Linked DNA regions of Oryctolagus cuniculus. The protein of the gene in region 1 purifies or fractionates together with the protein of each later gene. This does not show direct contact. Links are inferred from orthologs where the notes say so. Each region holds a gene or a part of one and is shown on either strand. Other genes may lie near its edges.

Evidence for each region. The genes of interacting proteins can lie anywhere in the genome.
Region 2: the proteins of RAB5A (region 1) and CHM purify together in Homo sapiens (affinity purification with mass spectrometry; 3 studies listed by BioGRID and IntAct, counting the BioPlex papers as one, with this or other methods). This does not show direct contact. The link is inferred for Oryctolagus cuniculus from reciprocal best matches to the Homo sapiens genes RAB5A and CHM.
Region 3: the proteins of RAB5A (region 1) and GDI1 purify together in Homo sapiens (affinity purification with mass spectrometry; 3 studies listed by BioGRID and IntAct, counting the BioPlex papers as one, with this or other methods). This does not show direct contact. The link is inferred for Oryctolagus cuniculus from reciprocal best matches to the Homo sapiens genes RAB5A and GDI1.

The regions. Positions count from the first base shown.
Region 1 is NC_091435.1:155,566,143-155,571,374, reverse strand, and holds the start of RAB5A (ras-related protein Rab-5A), read right to left. Parts: upstream 3,408-5,232; 5' UTR 3,393-3,407; intron 3,346-3,392; exon of another isoform or gene 3,211-3,345; 5' UTR 2,899-3,210; intron 1-2,898. UniProt on the Homo sapiens protein: The small GTPases Rab are key regulators of intracellular membrane trafficking, from the formation of transport vesicles to their fusion with membranes.
Region 2 is NC_091453.1:64,953,190-64,957,626, forward strand, and holds part of CHM (rab proteins geranylgeranyltransferase component A 1), read left to right. Parts: intron 1-1,350; coding exon 1,351-1,467; intron 1,468-1,977; coding exon 1,978-2,098; intron 2,099-4,180; coding exon 4,181-4,406; intron 4,407-4,437. UniProt on the Homo sapiens protein: Substrate-binding subunit of the Rab geranylgeranyltransferase (GGTase) complex.
Region 3 is NC_091453.1:132,670,490-132,674,492, reverse strand, and holds the end of GDI1 (rab GDP dissociation inhibitor alpha), read right to left. Parts: intron 4,000-4,003; coding exon 3,801-3,999; intron 3,565-3,800; coding exon 3,433-3,564; intron 2,640-3,432; coding exon 2,540-2,639; intron 1,800-2,539; coding exon 1,628-1,799; intron 1,310-1,627; coding exon 1,165-1,309; intron 1,083-1,164; coding exon 1,028-1,082; intron 939-1,027; coding exon 786-938; downstream 1-785. UniProt on the Homo sapiens protein: Regulates the GDP/GTP exchange reaction of most Rab proteins by inhibiting the dissociation of GDP from them, and the subsequent binding of GTP to them. Promotes the dissociation of GDP-bound Rab proteins from the membrane and inhibits their activation.

The DNA.
Region 1 (5,232 bases):
AGTTATTTGAAAATCTGTTATTGCATGCTTTTCATTCATGGTAATTTTAGGGCAAACATTTTAAGGAGCCCAGTGCTGTATGTGCAGAGGCTGAAAGATGTAAAACTATCCTCACATACCATTCACAGAAATGCTAATGGCTATTCTCTAATGTGGTGCAACTATTAGTGACTTATTTACTAATACTACCTTTTTTTTGTAGTTTTTGGAATTACAATATATGCCATTATTTTCTATTAAACAACACATTTGGAGAAAACTAGCCTGAAGGCAAATTCTTTTCTTACCAGTATCTAAAAGTGCTCATTTTTTTTCTTTCTTTTTTTAAGATTTATTTGAAAGGCTCAGTTAGAGAGAGGGAGAGACAGAGACAGGTCTTCCATCTGCTGGTTCACTCCCCCAAATGGCCACAACTGAAGCCAGGAGCCAGAAAAGCTTCTTCCAGGTCTCCCACGTGGGTACAGGGGCCCAAGCACTTGAGCCATCCTCCCAGCTTTCCCAGCAGGGAGCTGGATGGGAAGTGCAGCAACCAGGAATTGAACAGGCACCCATATGGGATGCTGGCACTGAAGGTGGCAGCTTACCTGCTACATCACAACCACAACCAAGGCTCCCAAATGTGCTAATTTTCAATTTCAAAGGAATTAGCAAATATTTGAAGAGCACTTTTCAACCTATTCACATCTTTAATAAAAATATGATTATATGCTTACTAATATACTAAATATGATTTCCTCTCTAAAAATGTAGCTATACTTCACTGAGTTACCTCATATAAGAAATTCGCCTTCCCTATAAAATTTTAGTTTTTATGAGACATATTATTGACAATTCACTAATATATTGATATCTTAATTCTAGACAATTAAGTTCACTTCTTGGCTTTATCTAAAACTCCAGCTTTGAAGCGTCTTTAACAGTACATGCTGATATATTTACAGATGAAATGATGTTTAAGCTGCTTCCAAACATAAGGTACAGGGGCTGGCACTGTGACATAGAGGATAAAGCTGCCGCCTGCAGTGCTGGCATCTCATACAGGTGCTGGTTCGAGTCCAGGCTGCTCCACTTCTGATTCTGCTCTCTGCTATGAACTGGGAAACCAGCAGAAGATGGCCCAAGTCCTTGGGCCCCTGAACCCTCATGGGAGACCAGGAAGAAGCTCCCGGCTCCTGGCTTTGAGTCAGCGCAGCTTAGGCTGTTGCAGCCATCTGGGGAGTGGACGAGCGGATGGAAGACCTCTCTCGATCTCTCCTCTCCTCTCTCTGTGTAACTCTTTCAAATAAATAAATCTTAAAAACAAACGAACACACACCATAAGGTACAAATAAAACTACTTCCCCATACTGTCCCAAACACAGTAAACTTGGGAGTTTAATCCTGGTAGTACCAATTTCTGTCTGGGCCAATTTTTTAATTTTCAAACTACATAATTTGCATAGTTGCCAGTTAATCACGTGATACAATATATATAATCTCTAATACAGTACCTATCATACAGCAGGGTTTGAATGGACAACTAAAGTGGCCCTTTGGTTACATGTCAAACACCAATAGAATGTCGTATAGGCAGAAAACGCACCAATTCGCTTTCAGGAATAAACATAGTTGAAACACTTCCCAACAGCCTCTTATCTACAAAACTGCTGATCATTTATCAAGGATACCATGTTCTGAATTTCTACAGTACTTCTGAAAATTTAGGGAAAACACCAGACACCCATAAAAAAGTCAAGCAAAATTGTGATTTACGTTTGCCTTCTAAGTTTTGAAGCCACTGAATCCTTATGCTACAAGGATCTCTAACAGGAAATAAATCAAAAACAGCGTAATATTAACAAGGTAAAAACTGCGTGCATTTACTCGTATTCACACTTACTGAGAATTCTCCCAGTTTTGCCAAACAAGGACTTTGCATTGTATGCATTTTTAAACTTGGAAATAACTAGTGTTCTGTAGTGCTCTTTTGCTCTTTTTAGGTCCTCTTTGATCAAAAAATCACTGGGTACTCATTCTGTGCCTGGCATGGTTACCAAGTACTTTGCTTACAACAACCCTAAGTGTTCAAACTATCTGCATTCGACAGTGAAAAGAACAAAGTTTCTGAGGAGTCCAGAATATTCCCGGAGTAGTGTAACAGTTTGATTCCACTTAAGCCAGGCCAAAAAAAATCAAATACGTAAACTAGGATGCTAGGAGCTTAAAAAGTCTGAAAGTCTCGAGGGGCTGACCAGTTCCCAGGGAAGACAGCATCAGGGCAGGTCTCCTGGTTTACCCACCAAGGGAGCTGTACGGCGGCCCAGTTACCTTTAATTTCCTTAAAGCTGCGGCTCGCCACCTGCCAGTCTCCAGAGCGGTTGTCTGGCTGAGCCTCCCAGCCCTTCCATTACCCATCTTTCGAAGGTAGGCGGAGCTCCCCAGATCCACACCTGCCCTAGGCCCCGGTCCCTGCTTGCAACACCTGAGCAGCTGAGAGCCGACTCCGGATCGCCCGAACAAACAGTACCCGCCAGGGCTCTGGGCCGTCCCGCCACCCTCCTCCCTTAAACCTGCACGGCTCTCCCTGGGACCCCCGGGCTGTCTGGAGAGGCCGGGCGGAACCACGGCCTCCGGTACTCTTTCCGCGGCGCCATCTTGAGAAGGGAAGAGGGTGACACCCGTCGGCTCCCTCACCCAGTCCCCAAATCGCGGTCTCCACCAGAACCCCTGGCGGCATGAGTCACCAGGGCTGGCAGGCCGACAGGCCCGGGTGCGGTAGCTCTGTGGTCCCGGAGACGGGCGCAAGTCGGGGAGGACGTGCTGGGGGCCCCGCCGCCCGCACAGCCGCGGGCAGGATGGAGACCGCGGCTCAGCCCAGCTCCAGACCCGCTCTGCACAGGGGAAGGCTGGTCTGGTTACCTGCGGCTGCGGCACGCGGGGCCGCGGCACCGCAGCTTGCTGGCGGCAGGGAGCAAGCGTGGCCCGAAGGACGGCAGCGAAGCGGAGGCTGTGGCGGCGACGGCGGCGTCTCCTCGCGTCGCTCGCCTCACACCGGACCGTGCGGGGCTGGAGCCGTGGTGCCGCCCCTGCCGGGCTCCGTCTCCGCCTCTCCGCGCTCCGCCTTTCTCTTTCCTTTCTCCTCCTCCGCCGCCGGCGCTCAAGTTCCGACGAATTCTTCCTCCTCCTCCTCCTCCCTCCTCCGCCTCCTCCCCTCAGGCCGGCCGCCGGCTCCTTCAAGAACCAAAACACAAACACTCAAGTCCCAACGCGGGAGCCACTTCCGCAGCCGGGCGCCGGCCCCGCCGCCACGTCGCTGCGCGCAGCGAGAGACGCCGCTTCGTCACTTCCGGTCGGCGCCAGTCCGTCCCGCCCCATCCGCTTCCCCGCCCCTCTCGAGGCGCACCCAGCCCTACCGGGGAGGGGGCGGGGCGCGGCGGGCTGTCACGTGGCTCTGCGCTGGGGCGGGTTTTACTGCCTTGTTGTGTCTGCGCCACGCCGGTTGCGCGCGACCGCGCCCTCGCAGCTCTTTTGTCAGCAGGGCGGAGGCCTCTGGGCTCCTGTGACTGGGGCTGGGTGGGGTATCCCGTGCTGCCCTGCTTTGGGGGAAGACCTAAGGCGCTTGAGTTTGTTGCGCCCAGCCCTTTGTTGTAAGTGTGAGCTCACAGTCCCCTCCATCCCGCCCCGCACCACCCCAATCCTGGTGACTTGGCCTAAGGGGTTTTTTTGAGGGAGGTTGTAACAGGAGACACGCCTACTGTGTCCCTGAGGCCAGGTGTGTCTGTAAAGGAAGGTAAGTCGTTTGTACCGCCGGCAGGAAGCTAGGACCCTCTGCATCCTAAAGCCGTCTTTAGTGGCAAAGCATTAAAACAGTTGGCACGTAAGAAGCGCTTACCTGTTTTTGGTAGGGTACATGTTAAGCAAACCTGTTGTTCAGATTTCCCTTTGGGAGTTACAGTACTAAACGTTTTACAGTAGGTACAAGTCTTTGTGAAACCAGCTTGTGAATCGTCGTGTGGGCACATTAACACTAACTTCCCAAACTGGTCCTCACCTCTGTGAACCTGGCTAGCACGTGGCCAGGCAGCTAAGAATCTTCAGGCATGGCTTTGGGATTAATGAATGAGGCGTGCCTGCTTTACAGGTAACGCGCTCGAAGCACAGAGATTGTGTAACTTGTACAAGACTGGGAATTCTTTTTAAAGATGTATTTATTCAAAAGGCAGAGTAACAATATTTCTTCCATCCACTGACTCACTTCCCAAATGGCTGCAATGGCAGGGCCTGGCCTATGCTGCCAAGAGGCTTCAGCTCCTTCCTGGTCTCGCAAGAGAGTATCAGGGGCTAAGTACTTGGGCCATCATCCCCTGCATTAGTAAATAAGGATTGGAAGCAGAGCAGCCTGGGTTCAGACTAGCTGTTCAAAAGGAGACTCAGCATTGCAAGTGGCAGCTTAACCTGCTGCCTGTGCCTTGACCCTCTGTGCTGCGTACAATACAATGCTGGCCCCAGAATGTCAGTTCTTATACAAAGTTCCGGTGAAAGACCACAACCTGAGCTGGTTGTTGCCCTCTGCAGCAGATCCTCTTAAGCATGCTTTGGTAAAATCCCAGATCATAGTTAGTTTCTGGAAAGCGTCTAAAACCAACCCCTCTCCCCTTGATCGTTGCTTTTTCCCCAGAATAAGGGATGCTTTGCAGTTTATAATTTACAACTTACAGTCCTGCTGTGAAGGCATGAATATTGTCTTTGGAGTGTACCTGGGCTAAGGTATCCTGTGAGTGCTCGGTCAACATTGTGCAATGAAGATGATTTGAACCCTTGACTAACTAGCTCGTCTTTCAGCACCTCCCCAGTTACTAGAAGAGCATAATATGGCATCTGTGAATGGTATCTGTGGCACTGCATCCTGAAAGGCCTGTTCTGATGTTGCATAAGTCATGGTCATAGCTCTAGGACGATCCCAGAAAGAATCAGGAAATAGGATATGTCATGTTAGTCTTGTCATGTCAATAGCATGTCCCAAGCCAAACCTATTCCACTGCAAGCCTGTTTGCATTGTTTATTCAGTGCCATTAAGAACCTCTGTCACCCAGACTTGGAACTACAGAATCATTTTCAGCTCTTCTTTTCTTCCCCATAAAGCACTGGCCATTCTGTTTCTAAAAATCCTCAAATCCCCAAATTTGAGAACTAATTCAAATGCCTGGACCATAGAAGCATTCTTGTTAAAAAAATTTTTTATTTATTTATTTG
Region 2 (4,437 bases), on another chromosome or scaffold:
TAATCAAGTAACATGCCATATTTAGTCAGAATAATCAGATTTGCTTAAAAATGTGATTCCCATTTTGTTTGTTCTAAACAATGCTGACCTTTTATAAAATTTCAGTTAGCTTCTACTGATGTACAGAAAGTATTTCTTGACCTGTTGGATACTTGATGAATTGAGTAAGATTGGTTTTTGAGATTATGTTTATATTTGTATAGTAAAGCTAATTTTATTTCCTCATCCTCATATATTATAGTGTAACACATTTTTTAATTTTAAAATTTTTTTAAAGATATATTTATTATTTGAGAGGCAGAGTTACAGAGAGAGAGAGAGAAAGTTTCCATCCACTGGTTTACTCCCCAAATGGCCGCAATGGCCGGAGCTGGGCTGATCTGAAGCCAGGTGCCAGGTAGCTTCTTCCTGGTCTCCCACATGGGTGCAAGAGTTCAAGCACATGGACCATCTTCTGCTGCTTTCCCAGGCCATAAGCAGAGAACTGGATCAGAAAAGAGGAGCAGCCGGGATTCAAACCGGTGCCCATATGGGATGCCAGCACCGCAGGCAGAGGCTTAACCCACTATGCCACTGTGCCGGCCCCGCATTTACATTTTTAACATTTATCAACTTATAGACATAGATTTAGCCAAACATTTAGCATTTAACCATATGGCTCAATTCACAGTATGACAGATAATACTGTTTAAATTATTGTTTTTGTGTTTCTGAGAGTAGTTATGAGAGATTTTGAAAGGTTAAATCAATCCTTTGTATACGTGCTGGAAGTAACTGTCATTCTTACTTATTGACAAACACATACTTCATATAAACCAAGACTGCTTGGATTATAGAGGGACCTTGTTATTGGAGTATTTTAGTGGAAGTACATCACTTATCTCTTTCTTTTTTGGTGGGTTGGGGAGGTCCATCAGTCTGATTTTTTACAACCACCTGGCCTACAGGGGCCTAGTATGTCTTATCATTCAGACTTCTAAAAAATATAGTATAAATTAATATTGAGACTGCTGATATGGTATGTATTATGTAACGTTCTTAGCAGGGTCCAAGAGGCACTCTGTGTCTAAACCCACTAATATTTCTGCAGAGAAATGTACGAATATTCACATTAAGAGGGACAGATAAAGACAGAAGTGCCTTATGTCAGTATGGATCATTTTTACAGTTTTTTGGATTTTGAGTTTTAGATAATCAGTTATGAAGTTGTCATAATATGTACTATAATATTTAAAGGTATACTTTTTTATAAATAATTTAAAATATAACTGAATTTTGTATATTTAGCACTTATCAATTTTCCGCTGTTGCACCTTTTACCTTATTCTCTAAAATATTTTCTTTATACAGCTGCTGTATTCTCGGGGATTGCTCATTGATCTTCTTATCAAATCTAATGTTAGTCGATATGCAGAGTTTAAAAATATTACCAGGATTCTTGCATTTCGAGAAGGAAGAGTGGAACAGGTACTGTGCTTACCAAGTATTGTATCTGGTTATGAGTTGAAGTTATTATGGGTTGTTTTGGAAGGATAAGCAGTAAGATTGTTACTCCTTGGTAAAGCAGTAAATTCTAATCCTGCCAAGTGATTTACAAGTGCAAAGTGTAAGCTTTGCTCAGTTACAGTTTCTCATGTTAATTTTCTCATGAGTTATTCCACAGCTTAATGTTGGTATTGAGAAAGTATTAGTTTCAGGCAGCACTGGTAGATTTAAGCTGTCACTTCTTTCCTGGTAAGGGTGATATGCCATTGGCCTTTCAGTGGCATGAGAAGCAACTTGGCAGAATTAAGAAAGAGAACTCACAAGTTAATTAGCTCTGAAGTTAACAGAGATGCCATTCGAACTAGACAGAGGTAACATGGAATATTCTGACCAGAATGGAAATAATCCTGTATATGTAAGAGAAGAAATTTTTATTTGTAATACTTGTATCATAAAGAAGCAGTTTCTTAATATTGTCATATTTTTTTTCAGGTTCCTTGTTCCAGAGCAGATGTTTTTAACAGCAAACAACTTAGTATGGTAGAAAAGCGAATGTTAATGAAATTTCTTACATTTTGCATGGAATATGAGGAACATCCTGATGAATATAAAGGTATTAGTTTTTATTTAATTGCATTCTCCAGCTATTTGATTTTTTTATGTTGTAGGAATTTATTTTAAATTACCTACAGTTCATTAAAAGGGAATTCATGATAGAAGATACTTGAAGAAAAATGTAGGGAAACATGCTAAATTAACAGTACCTTTAAAACTAATGATTATAGCAAAAAAGTCTTCACATTGAAATTCTGCTTCAGTTATTTTCCCATTTTTTATGCAATTACAAAAGAAAAAGTAAAATCCCTAAAATCTTAATTAGTTTTCATTTTTGGGGGGAATACTCATTTTCTTCTAAAGTATAACCTGTGCAACTCTTTATGCCACAAAATTTTTCAAGTCAAAGACTGGGGTTAAAAAAGAAAACGATGGATATCTTAAAGGGTATAGAGAATATTTGTATTTCTCTGATTTAATGAGCTACTTATTACTGCTTTAAAATGCTTTCTATTCCTGGACTATTTAGTAGGTCATTAGCAACATGTAGTATTTAAAAAACTAAATTAAAAAATGTAATTAAAATACAATTACTCAATCTCACTATCCAGATTTCAAGTGCTCTGTAGCAACATGTGGCTAATGGCTACTGCAGCTACCCTGCCGATATTTTCTTCATTTTACAAATTCTGTACTAGCCTTAAATTTTTAGTGTTGTTAGTTAAATGCTGCTATCAACTGGCTCTTCATAGATGATGTTGTCTTTTGTCACGGTATTTTTTTCTCATCAGAAGTAAGATGTATACTTAATAATTTTCAAGTATACTTATGCTTGGAATTTTGAAATATTCATTTTTATCGACAAAATATAAAAAGGCATGCAGTACATCAGGGAAGCCACTAGATTTGAAGACATGGTTTCTGGTCTTGGATGTGACTCATTTCACTGTGTGATCTAGGGCCTGTTACTTCAGTTTGTTGCACATTCAATGCATCATTTCAGCATCAGAGCTATATACTTTTTTTTCAAAAAAGATTTTATTTATTTGAGTGGTAGAGTTACAGACAGTGAGAGGGAGAGACAAAGGTCTTCCGTCCACTGGTTCACTTCCCAAATGGCTGCATCTGGGCCAATCTGAAGCCAGGAGCTGCTTCTTTGTCTCCCACACTGGTGCCGAGCCCAGGTGCTTGGCCCGTCTTCTACTGCTTTCCTAAGCCATAGCAGAGAGCTGGATCAGAAGGGGAGCAGCCAGGACTAGAACTGGTGCCCATATGGGATGCCGGTTCCACAGCTGCAGGATTAACCCACTATGCCACAGTACTGGCCCCAGAGCTAAACACTTTTAAGTGTGTTCAGCTGAAACTGTTACTCAGAATTGGAATACACTATTGCTAATTTATAAAGTTAAACTGAGAAGTACAGCAGTATTGTTTTTTTCTCTGAAGAAATAATAAGTCTGTTATTGCTGTTCTTGAAGTTTCAAGTCCATATGTTCTCTCAGTGAATTTTTATAATTTTTATTTATAAATGTTTTGCATTTTTTATGAGATTGTATTTCCTACTGCTATCATTCCAATTACATTGTTTTGTGTTCTTAGTTTAGGGGTCTCTTATGTTTTGAAGTGTGATTTTATAACAAGAAGACCAATTCTAGGAGCCATATAGAAACTCGTTTAATTACTTTTTAGTCATAGTTGAGTGCTATAAGTTTTAGTAAGAAGTATGCATTTCATGAATCATGTGTCATTTCATTAGTAAATTTCCATTTTGTCATATTTAATATTTTCAGGTGCAATTTTTGGTTTTATTCTGCAGTTTTTCAAGTTAATAAAGTGAGATTATTGCCAGCTATGGCAACTCATTGAGTTGTTTAATGATTTTCTGTCTTTTTACATCCATAAAATAGAAAACAAAAATTCATCATTTAAAGCATAAAAATTGTGCCAGTGATCTAATATGGATAGTGAGATTGTCTTTCCACCCCAAGATCAATCACTCTCCAAAATTTAATAATAATATTACCACCAGAGTTTTTTGTGAAGTCTTTTAGACAGACTTAATCTCATATTTTTGGGAGTGATTTTAAATAGAAATTTAGGTCCAATTTTAATTGATAAATTTTCATCTTTCTTTTCATAGGCTATGAAGAGATTGCATTTTCTGAATATTTAAAAACTCAAAAATTAACCCCCAACCTGCAATATTTTGTCCTGCATTCGATTGCAATGACATCAGAGACAACCACCACTACCTTAGATGGCCTCAAAGCTACGAAAAACTTTCTTCACTGTCTTGGGCGATATGGCAACACTCCATTTTTGTTTCCTTTATATGGCCAAGGAGAACTCCCACAGTGTTTCTGCAGGTGAGTTTGGCATTGATTCTCTTGTGTCTTC
Region 3 (4,003 bases), on another chromosome or scaffold:
TCCGTGAAATACACTAGAGGTTGGGGAAGGGGACACATTCACTTCGCAAGGTAAGTAAGGGTTTCCCACCACTAAAGGAAAGGGGTGGGGCAGGGCACATGGGGTCGGGATCCATTTTCCCACCTCCTTCTGCTTTGCTCTCATTTCTTCTCTCTCTCAAGTACCAGAGAATGCAAACACAGACAAGAAACCAAAACAGAAGATCAAACTCCACCAGGGCCACACCTAAGCCTTCCCGGCTGCCCAGGCTAGGCCAGGACTGGGAGGGGCTGGGAGAGTTCACTGGACAGCCCCCAGGTTGCTCTAGGAGGATGCAGGCTCAGGTGGGGTGGGCTGCAGTTAATAAATTAGAATAAATTACGGGGAAAAGGAATGCAATTTTGTGCTGGGAGGGCCCCTTCTTTCCAACACACGAGAGTTGGTGGGGGGAGGCAGGGGGCATCTCCAAAGGCCACTACAGTAGGAGTAAGAGCGGTGGGGGCAGAAGCCAGCTTTTCCTCCATGTTCTTCCCAGACAGAGCAGAAGAATTAGGGGCGAGGGGAAGAGACACGCACGAAGAAAGGAACCGTCTTTTCCTAGGATAAGGAAGGGCCAAGGAAGAGATGCTATCCAACCCCCCATCTCCCAAACCATCGCTAAGGTTAAGGATTTGGTCAGTGAATCAATGAGGTGGGTAGTAGGAATGTGGTGGGGGAAGCAGAGATGCTGGAAACAGGGGTGCTGCCGCACATCTCCCTGGCCCTGCAGGACGCAGGAGGGGCGGCGGGGGCAGCAGGGGCAGCAGTCACTGGTCAGCTTCTCCAAAGACGTCGTTCTGTTTGCGCTTCATGTTCTCAAAGTCAAAGGCTGAGCCAGCCATGCGCTTGTAGATGTCCTTGATGTCATTGCAGGTTGTCTCAAAGTGTGTGGTGGCATCGTAGGAGCAGGAACAGAAAACCTGGCAACAGCCAGAGCCCAGGGCCTCAGGTGAGTTGGGCAGGGCGGCCGGGTGGGCGGCCGGGACTTGGGGCTGGGACAGGCACTTACCTGGCTCTCAGAACCATCATCAATGGGCTCGTACAAGTCACTGATAGCCACAAACCTGAGAGGCAGAGACAAGCCTCGCAACAGGCCCCGCCCTTCCTGGTCCTCCCCACCCCCTCGGGCTCCGTGCAACCCCTTACTTCTGGTCAATAGGCTCCAGCAGCTCCAGAGCTGGCTCAACCTCCTTTTCCGGCTCCGCAGTCTCCACTGTGGTGCTGGCAATGGCGATGTACTTGCCCTGCGCAGCCACGTTGTGTGCATAGGAGATCATGCACACGTAGATGTCTGGCCACGGGAAGTGCTCAGTTAGCACGGGCCAGAGTGAACACCATGCAAAGAGAAGGCGCCTAGGGGCTGCATGGGATCCTGGCCCACCTGATCCAATCACCCCGCCCCACACAATGGGCAGCATCCTGGCTGTCACCCTCCCAAGGAGAAAGAGTCCAAGCCACCCAATCCCTGGGGCCCCAAGTCGTGGGGACTGTCACGCGGCTCTCATTTCTGCTGTGGAGGGATCAGGTGGGGAGCCCCAAGGCTGACAGGGAGAGACGGAGCAAGCCCACAGAGAACACCCAGGAGGACGTCACGTGTGCCCCGGCCTACCTGACTTCCTGTTGACCTGGTTCTGGGGGATGATGATTTGGCAGGAATTGGCATCGTTGGTGTTCTTGATGGGGTGGCTGAGGATACAGATGATGCGGATAACCTGGCCAGCCTTCCGGACGCGGTCTGGGATGTAGCTGGGATCACAGATCAGCTGCTTGCAGCGGGCCACCTGTGAAGGCATCGGAGGGCTTTACCTCTGTCCGATCCCTGCCCTAAAACCTCGTGGGGCTGAGCCCACGCACGAGGCCAGGCAGCAGGCAGAGGCTCCACTCTCCTGGAACGCACAGCCACAGCCGGCAGGGCAGGCAGGTGAGTCCAGAAATGGGGTGAGCCCCGGCTGCAGGCACACTGTGATCAACAGTGCTTTCTGCACTACACACAGCTCGTGATCTTTGTGGCTTTTGTTTTTTTGGTTTTTCTTTTAAAGATTTGTTTATTTGAAAGACATAGTGACAGAAGGAAACACACACACACACACACACACACATCTTCCATCTCCTGGTTCCCTCCCCAAATGACAACAGCCAGGGCTGGGCCAGATCTAAACTAGGAGCCTGCAACTCCATGTAGCTCTCCCACGTGGGAGCAGGAGCCCAAGCACTTGGACCATCTTCCACTGCTTTCCCAAGCTATTAGTATGGAGGTGGCTCGGAAGTGGAGCAGCTGGGACTGGAACCAGTGCTCATAGGGGATGCCGACGTTGCAGCCAGTGGTTTAACCTGCTGCGCCACAGCACTGGCCCCAGTACACCACCTCTGAAGGGGACCTCCCGCCAACAGGAATGGCTTCTGGACCCCCAGTTCTCAGCTCTAAAGCCCTGGGGCTGAGGTGTGCAGCAGACCTGGCAGCAGAGGAGGTAGGCGAGCCCCGCCCTAACCACGATGGCCCCATGGCCTGGGGAAGGCTTACCTCTCCCTCAGACTTCACACCCACAACCTTGCCATTCTCCATGATGATGTCGTCCACAGGTTTGTTCAGCATGTATGTGCCCCCGTAGATGGCGCTCAATCTGTGGGAAGGGGAGAGAAGCTCAAGTGCCCCTCCCAGGAGAAATGGGGACCAAGTCTCCTGCACCGTGCCCTGCCACCACTGAGGTATAGAGGAGGCTTCCCCAGGCAGGCGGTGTCAGGACCCTCGGCAGTTTATCCCGGCCAGCACTGTGGGGTAGCGGGTAAAGCCACCACCTGTGACACCAGCACCCCATATGGGTGCCAGTTCAAGTCCTGGCTGCTCCACCTCTGATCCCTGCTAATGGCCTGAGAAAGCAGCAGGAGATGGCTCAAGTGCTTGGGCCCTTGAACCTTCATGGGAGACCTGGAACAAAGTCCTGGCTACTGGCTTTGGCCTGGCCCAGCCTTGGGCATGTGACCATCTGGGGAGTGAACCAGAGGATGGAAGATATCTATCTATCTCTCTCTCTCTCTCTCTCTCTCTCTATATATATATATATATATATATATATGCCTTTGGAATAAATAAATCTTTTAAAAACGTCACATCCCATCTTACTGTGGTCTTTGGAACTCCATGCCTAGAATATCCTGCAAAGGGCTAGTGTGAGGGTGGCCTGAAGGACCAGCGCCACACAGAAAGAGGAGCCTGAGGGACCAGAACAAAGTCCAGCTCCCCACTAAGCGCAGACTCAAGGTTCCTGAGTCTGCCTCCCAGGGCTTTGTGCTGGGGCTGTGTCCCCATCTCAGATGTCAGAGTAGGAAATGCTGTGGAAATCCCCAAGGGAGGCATTGCTATTGTTGCTCTCAGTCCCACTTAGTCATCCCAACTACACAAAGCCACGTTCTCACCTTGCAAAGCCCTGGGGCAGCTCGCCCAGGCCGTAGAGTGGGTATAAGTATGGGCTCTTGCCATACCGGGCCAGGGACTCACTGTACAACTTGATACGGTTAATGGTCTCCAGACAGGGCTGGTCCAGGTAGCTGGGGGGACAGAGGTCAGGGAAGATGCTCCAACAGGCTCCCTGGCTCACCCCACCACCCCGAATGGCCCAGGGGAGCCGGGGGGTCAAGTGCAGGGGAGGGGCGGACAGGCAACAGGGGAGCCTATGGCTGAGTACGAGAAATGTGCAGGGTAGGCAGAGGGAGCAGTGGGCAGGTGTTGGGGAGGCAGGGTAAAGGCCAGGCAAGGGGACCGCGCCACACCAGCTTCCCCTCACTCATCAGTGCGGTAGAGTGCCAGCGCGTGGCCAGTGAAATCAATGACATCCTGGCCCAGGTCAAACTTCCGGTATACGTCACGCATGCTGGTAGTCTGGGGATCGACGCCCTCAAAGGTCTTGGGGTCATTCTCATCAAAGTTTGCCACAAACACCAGGAACTTGCGGAAGCGCCGTTTCTCAAACATGCCCATCAGATCTGA